3 linked regions of the Coturnix japonica genome follow. The protein of the gene in region 1 purifies or fractionates together with the protein of each later gene. This does not show direct contact. Links are inferred from orthologs where the notes say so. Each region holds a gene or a part of one and is shown in the gene's direction. Other genes may lie near its edges.

Evidence for each region.
Region 2: the proteins of NASP (region 1) and ASF1A purify together in Homo sapiens (affinity purification with mass spectrometry; 6 studies listed by BioGRID and IntAct, counting the BioPlex papers as one, with this or other methods). This does not show direct contact. The link is inferred for Coturnix japonica from reciprocal best matches to the Homo sapiens genes NASP and ASF1A.
Region 3: the proteins of NASP (region 1) and HAT1 purify together in Homo sapiens (affinity purification with mass spectrometry; 3 studies listed by BioGRID and IntAct, with this or other methods). This does not show direct contact. The link is inferred for Coturnix japonica from reciprocal best matches to the Homo sapiens genes NASP and HAT1.

The regions. Positions count from the first base shown.
Region 1 is NC_029523.1:18,774,592-18,778,172, forward strand, and holds part of NASP (nuclear autoantigenic sperm protein), read left to right. Parts: coding exon 1-465; intron 466-600; coding exon of another isoform or gene 601-638; coding exon 639-1,022; intron 1,023-2,793; coding exon 2,794-2,876; intron 2,877-3,195; coding exon 3,196-3,272; intron 3,273-3,399; coding exon 3,400-3,473; intron 3,474-3,581. UniProt on the Homo sapiens protein: Component of the histone chaperone network. Binds and stabilizes histone H3-H4 not bound to chromatin to maintain a soluble reservoir and modulate degradation by chaperone-mediated autophagy.
Region 2 is NC_029518.1:57,106,809-57,110,903, reverse strand, and holds the start of ASF1A (histone chaperone ASF1A), read left to right. Parts: upstream 1-1,253; 5' UTR 1,254-1,639; coding exon 1,640-1,748; intron 1,749-4,095. UniProt on the Homo sapiens protein: Histone chaperone that facilitates histone deposition and histone exchange and removal during nucleosome assembly and disassembly.
Region 3 is NC_029522.1:16,001,563-16,005,706, reverse strand, and holds the start of HAT1 (histone acetyltransferase type B catalytic subunit), read left to right. Parts: upstream 1-1,304; 5' UTR 1,305-1,373; coding exon 1,374-1,380; intron 1,381-1,521; exon of another isoform or gene 1,522-1,753; coding exon of another isoform or gene 1,754-1,799; intron 1,800-1,861; coding exon 1,862-1,915; intron 1,916-2,234; coding exon 2,235-2,306; intron 2,307-4,144. Other genes in the region: SLC25A12 (calcium-binding mitochondrial carrier protein Aralar1), read right to left, coding at 1,127-1,222. UniProt on the Homo sapiens protein: Histone acetyltransferase that plays a role in different biological processes including cell cycle progression, glucose metabolism, histone production or DNA damage repair. Coordinates histone production and acetylation via H4 promoter binding.

The DNA.
Region 1 (3,581 bases):
CAAGGGAGGAGTTAAGAGAACAGGTATATAATGCCATGGGGGAGGAAGAAGAGGTGAAGAAGTCTCCAGTGCTAACTGAGAAGGAAATCAAAGGAGAGGATGTTGAAATGGAAGATGTTACAGAAGAAAAGCCAAAAGAAGAAACAGTTACAGATGTGGAGGTAAAGCTTGAAGGGTCTGCAGAGAAGACAGAGACTTCTGTGGAGAAAGTGAATTCGGAAGAGCATGACCAGCAGACGGCTGTGGAAAAGAATGCAGAAGCAGCAGTTGTGGAAGAGAAGGCAGTGGAGAAAGAGCAGGACACAAAGCATGAAGAAGCAGAGGCAACTGAGGGCAGGAACAGCACAAAGGAGGTGTTGGATGAGAAGGTGAAGGCAGCTGTGGAAGAGAACGAAGCTGCAGAAGCACCGGCAGAAAAGAAAGGAGGGGCAGGAGAGCAGACAGCAGGAACAGCGGAAACTGAGACGGCAGAGCAGAAAGAAGCTGCGGAAGAACAAGCAGAAGCAGTTGAAAAGAAGGTGGAGGAGAAGGAGTCAGTGGAGACAGCTCCAGAACAGAAACNGACACAAAGCATGAAGAAGCAGAGGCAACTGAGGGCAGGAACAGCACAAAGGAGGTGTTGGATGAGAAGGTGAAGGCAGCTGTGGAAGAGAACGAGTCTGTAGAAGGGCAGGCAGAGGAGAAGGCAGTGTCACAAGAAGGGACAGCAGAAGGGCAGGCAGCAGCTGTGGCAGAGCAGAAAGAAGCTGCGGAAGAACAAGCAGAAGCAGTTGAAAAGAAGGTGGAGGAGAAGGAGTCAGTGGAGACAGCTCCAGAACAGAAACCAGATGAATCCAAAGAGGTGGATTCCTCAAAAGAACCAGTGTCTGCAGTGGGTGAAGATCCAGCTAATGATACAGGAGAAAAGACTGAAGTGGCTGCTAAGGTAGAGAAAGAGGAAAAGAAAGATGACCAGATGGAAGAGAGTGAAGGTGCTAAGGTAGAAAAAGAAGAGAAAGATGACCAGATGGAAGAGGGAGAAGGTAACAGTGAGGAGAAAAGTACTTGTGGGTGGCTGACTTGCTGGATTTGGCTAACAGTGGGTAAAGTGTTCCATTCAGGATTTTCTGTTTGCCTTAAAATGAGGAAAAATGGGGTTTAGAAGGATTTTACATCCGAGTAACTGGCTTCAGTAAAGTTTCAAGAACTAGAGAATAGTCTCAGTTTCTTTAGACTAACGCTTAACTAACTGCAAAGCAAATCTTTAAAGCAAACTTACAGCCCTGTGAAATGCGTAAGTAAAGGCTCGGCTGGTGGAGAATACTGAATGGATGTTCACTTGCATGCATTTGGGTTTAACGCACTAACCTTCAAATAACTTAAATCACGAGTTGCCTCTGGTTATAACTGTACTTTAAAACAGTGGTGCAGAAAAATAAGAACTGCTGAATTTATAATAAAGTGATAAATTAGCTTTCCAGAGGGCAGGGAGTAATTTTCTGTTTGAGTCTTCCTAGCAGTAATCAAAAGTGAGAATTTGGCTGACGAATGCAGGCTTATTGCTTCCATCTAGCGCAGTTTTGGAGCTCCCTGCTTTTTCTGCCATTCTGCTTCCCTGCTTCATTATGGCTTTTTGCAAGGTTACGTTAAAGTCGCCTGGTAAAACCTATGTGCTTTGCTGTAGTTGTATGTGCATGGCCTTAGTAGGCTGTGGATTTCTGTTGGACAAGTTCATCAATATTCTGCTAATAGAAACTTGGCTTGTCAGTAGCTCAGCTGCACAGGAAGAGCCTTGTTGAGGAGAGGCAAGTCTTCAGATCAAATAGTTCTGGATACTGGGAGGACTTGTACCGCTCAGCACAGTGAGCACAGTAATGAAGCAGCTGCCTGGGAAGGTGTCTGTCTGACCAGAGTGTGACTGAACATAAACTGAGAACAGTTACCCACTCTTCTTTATCCTATGAAGGACTGCTTATGTACATGCTGCTTTCTTTTGCTCAGACTCTTGTTGTTATGAGGACACCCTTGAACATCTTAATCTGGTGCACTGACAGCAGCTGTTCTGTTTTAGATTTGATCAGGCTGTCCATGTACTTAATTATTTTGGTGCTCTTTGGCTGGTGTTGGCAGTCGGACTGAGCAGCTCATGGGTTTTCTAGTCACCACAACAAGCTCCTGTTGTCCTAGAATTAGTCAGTGGTCACAGTCTGAGTTGGTTGACTTGAAGCTGAAGTCACAGAAATTAGCAGTTGTTAAGGTAATCAGATTCCTTACCTGCACACCTCAAAAATCTACCAGTAGAGCAGATGATGCAAAACTTGCACAATATCACAAGTCAAATAGCACTGTATGACAGCAGGTTCATTGGTAATGTTGTGAATATCTGAAGTGAGGAACTCAAATTCAGGAGCAGTCTTATCTGTATGCAGCTTGCTAGTTATCTTGCTGAAAATGCTTGTTATCTGTAGCATGGAGTTCCAACAACTGACCAGTGCCTCTATGGCTGCTTGGGATTCCATGTGTTCAGTGGGGATTCACAGTGTGTTAGTGGGAACAATTCTAGCTAAGTTTCCATGCTGCCATTATGAAGTTACATTTTAAAATGTAAACTGAGGTTGCCTGGAACTACCTTAGTTTACAGTGCCTGATGTTTTCAGCAAGATGGCTGCTGCTGTGAGTAATTTTACCTGTGCTCTCCTTAATCACACTTCTAACCTCTCACTGGAAGGGTAAGGGCTGGGTCAAATATTCTGCCTGGCTCCAGGTGATGCGACACAGTAACAAGCATTCTCATTCATCTTGCTTTTCTCACAGAAACAGAAGAATCTGAAGAGGAAGACAAAGAAAATGATAAAGCTGAAGATGATAAGGAGAATGAATTGGCAGTGGAAGACAAGGTGAGGTTGCTGAGCTCTGATGTTGGCGCTATTGAATGCAAGGTCTGTCTAAATGTCACATGAATATCTTTAAGCTTTTGAAAGTTCACTTGTATTTTGTTTATTCCTGTACAGGAAGTTAGTTCTGTGCAGTGAAACCAATGTTGCCTAATGGAGGGGCATCAGTGCCTTATAGGCATACATGTTCTTCCTTCGAGTAGCAAAGCATTCATCCCTTGGTCAAAATGTACTCCTTGGGAATGCTGTTTAAAAGCATAAGGTTGTTTAATGTGACAGGTATCCAAATGGCTTCATATTTTATGCATTTCTGGTTTTGCAGGAAAGTGAGGAGGAGGAAATTGGCAATCTTGAGCTGGCCTGGGACATGCTGGAGTTGGCCAAAGTCATCTATAAGAGGTAAAATCTGAGGCTGTGATTTGAATGTTTGCTAGAGAAGCTCCCTGAGTTGGGAGGTGGTGAAGGCATAACGCTGTGTATTTCAAAGACTTGAAAACAGTTGTTTTTTTTTTTCCCCTTGATTTAGGCAAGAAACAAAAGAAGCTCAGCTTCACGCAGCTCAGGCTCATCTAAAGCTAGGAGAAGTTAGCATTGAATCTGGTAAGTAGTGCTAATTGTTGTGTATGAACTGCTAAGTTAAGTCTTGCCATGTTTTATTTCATACTCAAAAATGAATAGAGGTGATTTAAGGCTGAGAAGGTTGGGGAG
Region 2 (4,095 bases), on another chromosome or scaffold:
ATAGAATGGATGCATTCACCAACCACTAAAATAGACAAATATTGCAGAGCTGAAAAATAAAGCTTAGAAGAAAAAAAAATAATAATCCAAAATGAAATGAACCAAATAAGTTCCCAGCAGGCACTTGTGAATCTACATGTGATGCAACACTGGGAGCACGGAAGGTCAGAAATGTTTCTAAGCTGTGATAATGGCTGCTCACTATCAAGTATGTGCAGCTCTTTCCCATTTCCTCGTCCCTACTCCCCAGCCTTTTCTCTATCTTTAGCCCTTCTTTTTCACTCCAAAGCGCTCTGCTCAAAATATCCTGGTAGATGACAAGCTGCTGCCAGCCTGAAACCTCCTGGAATGTTACAACGAAACTTGCCCAAGGATCTTCCCATGGCACATCTCTGTGCAGATCAGTCAGAAATTATTGGCAATTTATGTTTCTTGATAGTAATAGTAGCTTGTTGTGAGGAGTCTCTTCTACTGTGCCCAATCTGGCCTTTCATCTGACACGAGGAATGCTAAAAATGTACACTGAGCAACAGATGAGGCAACTATCAGACACTTCTTTGTCAACACAGAAGCATAATCACCTTTCCAAACCTGGCAGTGGCTTGGAGGACGGCTAAGGGCCTCACTGTAGACATGGCAGCACTCTGCTGCTTGCCTGCATGGCTCAGGCAAGATGTCTGCTCCGTACCTTCCTGCCGCACATTAAGTGTTCCCCGCAGGCACGATTACTGCATGACCACGTATTTATTTCCTCCGGGAATCGCCTCTCACGCTGACGAGAAACACCTCACACCCCCAGCCCGGGGCACGGCTCTCCCCAGCCCAGCGGCGGGCGGTGACATGACATATCCCCGCTGCCATTCCCGCACACGGCAGCCTAAAATGGCCTCCTCCAAGGGCCGCTTGTGTTCGGGGCGTGCGGCGCTGCCGGAGGCTTCACTACAGCACAGCCACGGGTTGACAGCTTTCTGGAGGCCGCTCACACAGCGGACCAGGGCTCGGTCGGGCAGTCCCCAGTCAGCACGTAACACCTGACACCTCCGGGTTCGCGAAAAGAATTAAAAAGAATGAAAACACGCCTTCCTCGGGCACTAACAACCGGCAAAACCCACAGCACATGGCGGAAACCCACGCGCGAGCAGGGGCGCGGCCTACGGCTCCCGGGGCCGCCCCTCGGCTCCGCGCTCGGCCCCGCCCGCTCGGCCCGGCCCCTCCCCGCTCTGCGCGGCCGTTGGCCGGCGGCTGCCGGGCGGTTTGGCGGCGGTGTCGGGCGCCGGCCGGGCGGGGGCGCCGAGCGGCGCGGAGGGGCCGGGCGGGCGGCGGCGGTGCCTGTCTTGCCGCCGCTCGGCGGTCGGCTCGGCTCGGGGAGGAGGGCCCTAGCCCAGCGCGCGGCCAATCCGGACGGGCGCTGGCGGAGAGCAGGGCAGAATGGGCCGTAGTTGAGTGAAATAGGAAAGCTGCGAACAGAGTGGAGTGCTCCCGGTGTAAATAAAAGGGGGGAAGAAAAGTTTCCCCAAGTCGCGGCTCCGCAGCCTCGCTCCGACGGGGGGCAGGGGGCTTCGTGCGAGGCGGAGATCACCGCTCGGGACTTTGCCGTGCGGCGTTCACCCGCTCCTCCTATTGTGATTTTTTTCAAAATATGGCAAAGGTTCAGGTGAACAATGTAGTGGTGTTGGACAACCCTTCTCCTTTCTACAACCCTTTCCAGTTCGAAATCACATTTGAGTGCATAGAGGACCTGTCGGAAGGTGAGTACCGCTCTCCGGACGCGGGTTCGGCGGTGCCCGGGCTGTCGGATGCGGGGCCGGGCGGGCTCCCTTCGGGCCGGGCCTGCTCCCGCCGCCGCACGGTTCTCCTCCCCGCAGAGCCGTGCGGCCACGCGGGGGATGCGGAGCTACGGCGGGGCCGCCCGGCCCCGGCCCGGGCAGGGAAAGTTAGCGGCGGAGCCCTCGCTCCGGGGCCGCCGCTCCGCTTCGCTCCCCGCCGCGCCGTCGCCGAGGCCGCCTTCAAGTTGCGAGGAACTTGTTAGAGTGGTGGTAGCCATGTTGCCAGCTTTGTGTGTGCGTGGGGGGGCAGAGCGGGAGCGGGCGGGCGGGCAGGGCGCCGCGCGGCCCCGCGACGCGGGAGCGGAACTGTTGCGCGGCCGTAGCGCTGCCAACGGGAGGTACCCGCAGCGCGGGCAGCGTTTGGAGCGTGCGGTGCGGGGCCTCACGGTCCATTTTAATACTTAAAAGGAGGGAAGGAAAAAAAAAAAAAAAGAAAAGGAAAAAAACAGAGCTGGAGGCCGGGCGGACGAGCGGGCGGCTCTCGGTGGGCGCAGTGCTCGGAGCCCGGTGGGTGGCGGTCCGGAGGCGCGGAGCCGTGCCGGGAGGAGGGGGAGGCGGTAGCCACTATTTTTGGAAGTCACTCGAAAGTTACCGGCTGCCGCCGGGGGAGGCGGCTCGGCGCCGCCCTGCACGCCGCCCCGCGGGGACCCCGGGACGGGAGACGCGGCTGAGGGACCCTTCTCGGCCGGGCTCGAGTCCTCCCGTCCGCACGGCGGGCCGCGAGCAGCCCCCGGCCCGCTGTGGGCCGGCTCGCTCGGCACGATGTGTCCGTGCCGCCGGCAGGCCGCGCCGCGCCTCTCCGCGGGAGGCGCCCCGAGAGTCCGCGCGGGAACAACCGGGCGGGAGATTCGAACGCGGCGGCGCACGGCGAAGGAAGCGGCGGGATGAGCGGCACCGAGAGACAGGAAAAGGCCGCTCCGATGGAGCAGCCACAGGACAGGTGCCGCTATGGGGCACAGTGCCGCCTGCTCGCCGGGGAACCAGGGCAGACAGCGGGAGGCAGGGAAAGAAACTCGTGGCAGTAGAGAATGGGGACGTTTCTATTGCTGCTGTGGTTCAGTTTGCCTCCCTCAACACTCGGCGCGGGTTTCTGTCCCTGTGTGGCGGGTTGGCGGTGCTGTCAGGAACTTTGTCAAAGTCCTGTCTGCGTTTGAGGTTCCCCCCACGCCTCTGCCCCCTTCCTAAAACTGATCAGCGTCTCAGTTTGAGCAGCCCGCGCCATTAAGCTCCGTGCACATCCCGATGCTGATGGCTGCTCCTCCCTGACTCAGGCAGTCAGGGCTCACTCAGGACAGCAGCACCTGAATCCTCACACAGCAGTGCCTGCAGCAGCACAGGCACTAGGCATCACCTTGCCTTTCCTTTGGTTTGTGACCACTCCTAACTGTGTGTTTAACAGTGCGATTAATCTGGACAGTCAGGATGAGAACTGGAGGTGGCCCAGTTCAAAATTCTCAGTTCCCTTCCCCCATCTGACAAAGGTTAGGCTACAGGATATGTTTAGGGTAAGCATTGCTATCTTTCACGTTTAAAAATGAGGTTAAACAGCTTCTTGAAGAGAATGAATTGCTGTCATTTCCTTAGCGTTTGTGTGCTAATGTCTGCTCTGCTGTTTACAGCCAGTCCTGTGCACCACTGGTCTTAAAAGTAAATTAATTGAGTTCACTTCCCCCGTCTTTAAATTATTCCAAGTCATCATGTATCAGCAGTATCAGATCAACCTTTTAAAGGTATAAGTTATCTTCAAAGGCTTGTTTTTCAGTACCAAGTATTACTGCTTTAGAATGAGTTTGTTTTCCTGGAATAACTGCAAGTGATGGTATGATAACCTTAAGCGATCTAGCCTCTTATGTCCCCACTCCTTGAACACAGCAGATTACATAGGCTCCAACAGAAGGTCACCAGCTGACCCAATGAGTGCTTAGTACCCCAGCAGCCAACACCAGGTGCTTATGGGGTAAACAGAATCTCTGATGCAGAACCTGGCCCGTTGTGCCGTGCTGTATGAGGGGTTACGGTTTCATTAATGAGGAAAAAAATCAGTTGCAAGCCTAAATGCTGGAGACATTCCTACAGACTGAACAAATTCTCATTACAGCTCCCAGCAAGTAAATGGGCCCTACCTGCTGTAGGAGAATCGCAGCTTAACCAGTCTATGAAAATAGAGGGGCTTCTGCAGACTGGAGAAAGGTGGTGGGATGGCCTAGTTTATGAGGACTGGAGAAAGCATCAGCTTCCCTGATAAAGACAAGTTCCCTGATCCTTTATG
Region 3 (4,144 bases), on another chromosome or scaffold:
TAAGTTAATGCTTCACCAGCTGAGCTACAACTCGGGAACAAAAACGCAATGAGTGCCGATAAGGGCGGCGGTATCGGCTGCCTTATCTAACCGATAAGACTCAAACACGACATCCCGTGTCACCCGCTGACAGCCGGCCCAGCGCGCGGGTCCCGCACCGCGCCCGTCCCTGGGGATGCGGAGCGCCGGGCCGCGACCGTTCCCTCCCTCACGCGCCGAGTAACGGCCTCGGCCCGCGCCGCTGCTCCTCGGCGGACGGAGGCAGGACCGACCGCGCTGCCCCTTCCCCGCAGCCGCCCCCCCCCCGCCTCCGGCTTCGTCCCGCGTCCCTCGGGGCCCCGCGGGCAGGCACGGCGGCCGCCCGACGACGGAGGAGTCACCTTGACCGCCATGCTGCGCCGGCGAGCGGGAGGAGGAGCCGCGCGCCTCTACCCACCCGCCGCGCCGCCGCAGCGCCGCCGCCTCAGCGCCGCGCCGTGGGAGGCAGCGCCCGGCCCCGCCCTGCCCCGCCCGGCGGGCTGCCCTCGGTATCCGCCGTACCGTGTCGGCGGCCCCGCGCCTCCAAATCCCGCAGCGCGGCGACCGGTGCCGGCCGGGTCGGGTCGGGCTGCAGCGGACGCTCAGCCGGCTCCGTGTGACAGCGTCGGGGGCCGCCGCATCGGGGCGAGAGGCGCTCGTGCACGGCTCGTGCCGCTGAGCGGGGCAATGCCCTGGGGATGTGGCGGCCCAGCACAACGGGACAGCGCTGCAGCCTCAGCCCGCAGCACGGCAGGGACACGGCAGGGAGCGGCCAGGCACGCGGCAGGGACACGGCAGGGACACGGCAGGGAGCGGCCGTACGGCGCCTGGCGGCGGTGAGGGTCGGAGCGGCCGGTGTGACCGTAAGGCAGAGCGGGACCCGCCGGGCGCGGGGCAGCGCAGACCGGCACAGCAGCTCGGCGTCCGAGCTCGCAGAAGGGATTTGGAAGGAACCTGCCTGCTCTGCCAGCGCCGCTGCTGCGCTCCGCAGGGCCGGACCCTGAGGCGAAGCCACTAACGCTTTAACGAGAGCGAATCGGCCCCGGGTCCCTCATCCCGTCCCGGCACTGAGGCAGGTGTGAGGCTGAAGTAACGACACATCAGTAACCCCGCTGCAGGCTGCCCCTGGGGCGGGGCTGTGCCAATGAGCCGCTGAGCCAACGCGCGGCTCCTTAAAGGCTCCCGCCGGCACGCGGCTGCGCATGCGCACACGGGGTCCAGCCTCAGCTGGCGGTTCCCGGCCGCTTTTGGGCGGGCGGAAGCGGAAGTGTGTGCGCGTCTTCTCACTTCCGCCGAGTGGGCGCGCGGCTTGATTCGTTGTGCCCGGGTGACTCGGCCGCCGCCGCCGCTGGGAAATGGCGGGTGAGTCGTAGGCCGGGGCCGGCCGGTCGGCGGCCTGATTGCAGCCTGACTGCAGCCGCCGGGGTGTGGGAGCCGTCGTCCATCTTCTATTAAGGGGAGCAGTCGCCCTGGGCGCGGACGGTGCTCCTCCCCGCGACCGGGCCCGAGTTTGTGCTGGGCCACGAACGGGAGCAGGGCCCTTTGCTGGCCTCGCCCCCCGCAGCACAGCAGGAGCTCGGGGCCATCTCGGGCCCTGCGGACCGGGCCGTGGGCTGGGCGGCCGCTGCCGTGGGTCAGCTCTGCAGCGGGGCTGTATTTACACACCGTGTGCGGCTCTGTGCCCGCCGGGTCATTGAGAACACTTCTGGAGTAACCTTATTCTGAATTGCTTGAAATGGGAGGAAGAACTTCTGCTAATGCTGCTGGAATAGGGAGACAGGGTGGGTTTAACACACTTGAAAAATGCCTTGATGAATGACACGCCTTTTGTGTGCTGGATTAGACGCTGGGAAACAGGCTACCTGTAATTTCCTGCCTCATCCACTCTGGAAAGAAGGTAATAGCTACGTAACAGCTTGGTAGCATTCCTGCCACAGTTCAAGATCTCCTGACATGCATTAACCCTTATTCAAACACATCTGCATTTATTTTGGAAAACACTTCATAGTGAGAAAACAGATTGGCTTGAAAAGTAAAGAGAATGACAAAGTAGGAGCTGCAGGGAGAGCAGTGCATTATGAAATGAAGTCAGCGTTATGATGTTGTTCCTTCTGTTCTTGAGAGCCTTTTTCTTAACATTGAATTACATTGAATCATTGAATTACGCTGACCCAGATTGTACATATCGAAACTCTTCCCAAAATCTTTTTCTTTAGGACTGACTCCTATGGAGAAGAAGCTGGCTGAATACAAATGTAACACAAATGAAGCAATACAGCTCAAACTAGGTAATGCCAATTTTTAAATATTATGTGTTTGGAATATTTTAATATCTATTTAATAAAGTCCTTGTAATTTAATCTAATTAGCTGATAATATGCATTTATAAATATACAGGCACAAGAATAGGAATTCATAGTGTAGTTTTATTGAGAATGGTACAGTACAGCTACAGAAACTCAGGCTTTTACCTGTGTAATAACATCAGCAATCTATTAACATACTGCTAAACTGCATTGGGATGATGCCACCTTGTTCTTCTTGAGTTATTAACTATATTCTCTTAGTTTCTTCTTCTCTAGAACTTTTGCTACTATGTAGTCCTAAGTATGCACCATTGTTCTTCTGAGGAAACACAATAAGTAAAGCTGGAAAGTGTTTTTTGGTTTGTTTTTTCCACCTCTCCCTCAACATGTAGACAACACAAGCTATCTTCAACAAAGTCTTTAAAATCTGTGTAGAAAAAGTACTACTCTATTTTTCAGAACTGTTTATTGCTTTATATAGCTAACTTGCTTAATACCATATATAGAATACAAGTGGAATTACTGACTTACTTATATCTGAAACTTACCTGTATTGTTAATTAATAAGACAGTAGGTAATACATCTGTGTTTTTTAATCTTTCCAAACCTTCAGCATTTTGTTTCCTTGAGCAGTACAAATAGCTTTACTTATTAAGAAAGTAAAAATAATTAACATTTTAAGCACTCTTAAGAACTACTATTAACAGTTTGTTCTGCAAAACTTAGTCGACTTTTAAATGCACGGTTGGCTTGTGAGACAAAACATCATTGTAACCTAAATACTGAAGCCTTTGAGCTGCTAACCGGTGAAGCATTTCTCTTCCATTTGAACAACAGTTCAAATACTCATTTTGTGACTATTTTTATTTAATCTATATATATAACGTTTTGGTTTTCCTCTTGTGTCTTTCTAAATCCAAAGGATGAGAAGTAATAGAATATACCTGTCAGTTTACTTTTTTCTTTGTGAGAGTGTAGATGTTCTACATACAACGTTAGAAAAAATTAAAATTTAATGCCATTAAAAACAAAAAAACACGCCTTTCCCGTGAGCATAGGGGTATAAATGTGGACATGGCTGTACTCTTCTGAGTCCTAATTCGTTCCATGGTGATGTTTCAGGATTACTCTGTTTTCCCTTTTTTTCTGGTTTGTTTTTTTGTTGTTTTTAATCTTGCTACTTTGATTCAACTGGGTCGTTCTCTGAATCAAGCTGAAGAAGACGAAAACTGCCATTGAGAGGGCTGAGTTTCATCCTGTTATTAAGAAACCCTTCGTTCACTTTTCTCTTGGAATATCTCCTATTGATGGAAAATCCTTTTTACTTCATCTCCAGTTTTACTGGAGTAAAACAGCAATGAGACTGTAGTTCCATATTCTCCTTTTTTTTTTTTTTAAATTAAAAAAGAACATTTAATAGCGCTGTTAACTCCTACAGCATTGCGTGCACTTGTAACTCATTCAAAATTAGTATGTCACTGTTTTCTTGAGCTACCTACGCCTTGTTAATGGGGCTGAACAATCACTTTAATGCCTGTGCGAAGAGCTATATCCCTTCCAATTTTAGGTAGTTATTTTAACTGCAGAGGATATCTGGGAATTGAGTATTACAGTCTTCTATAAATTTTCATAGAAAATCCTACTTTAACTTCTGATTTCACTCACTAATCATAAAGTTTGTGATGGAAGAACTTCAGTTGCAGTTACTGTGCAGTAGCTGCTGTTAACTCTGTCAGCATGAATAAAATACTTGTTTGCTACATTACTGAGTGTGAGTAGATGCTACTTGAGCAGATGTTTTCACATTACCAGCAAAGAC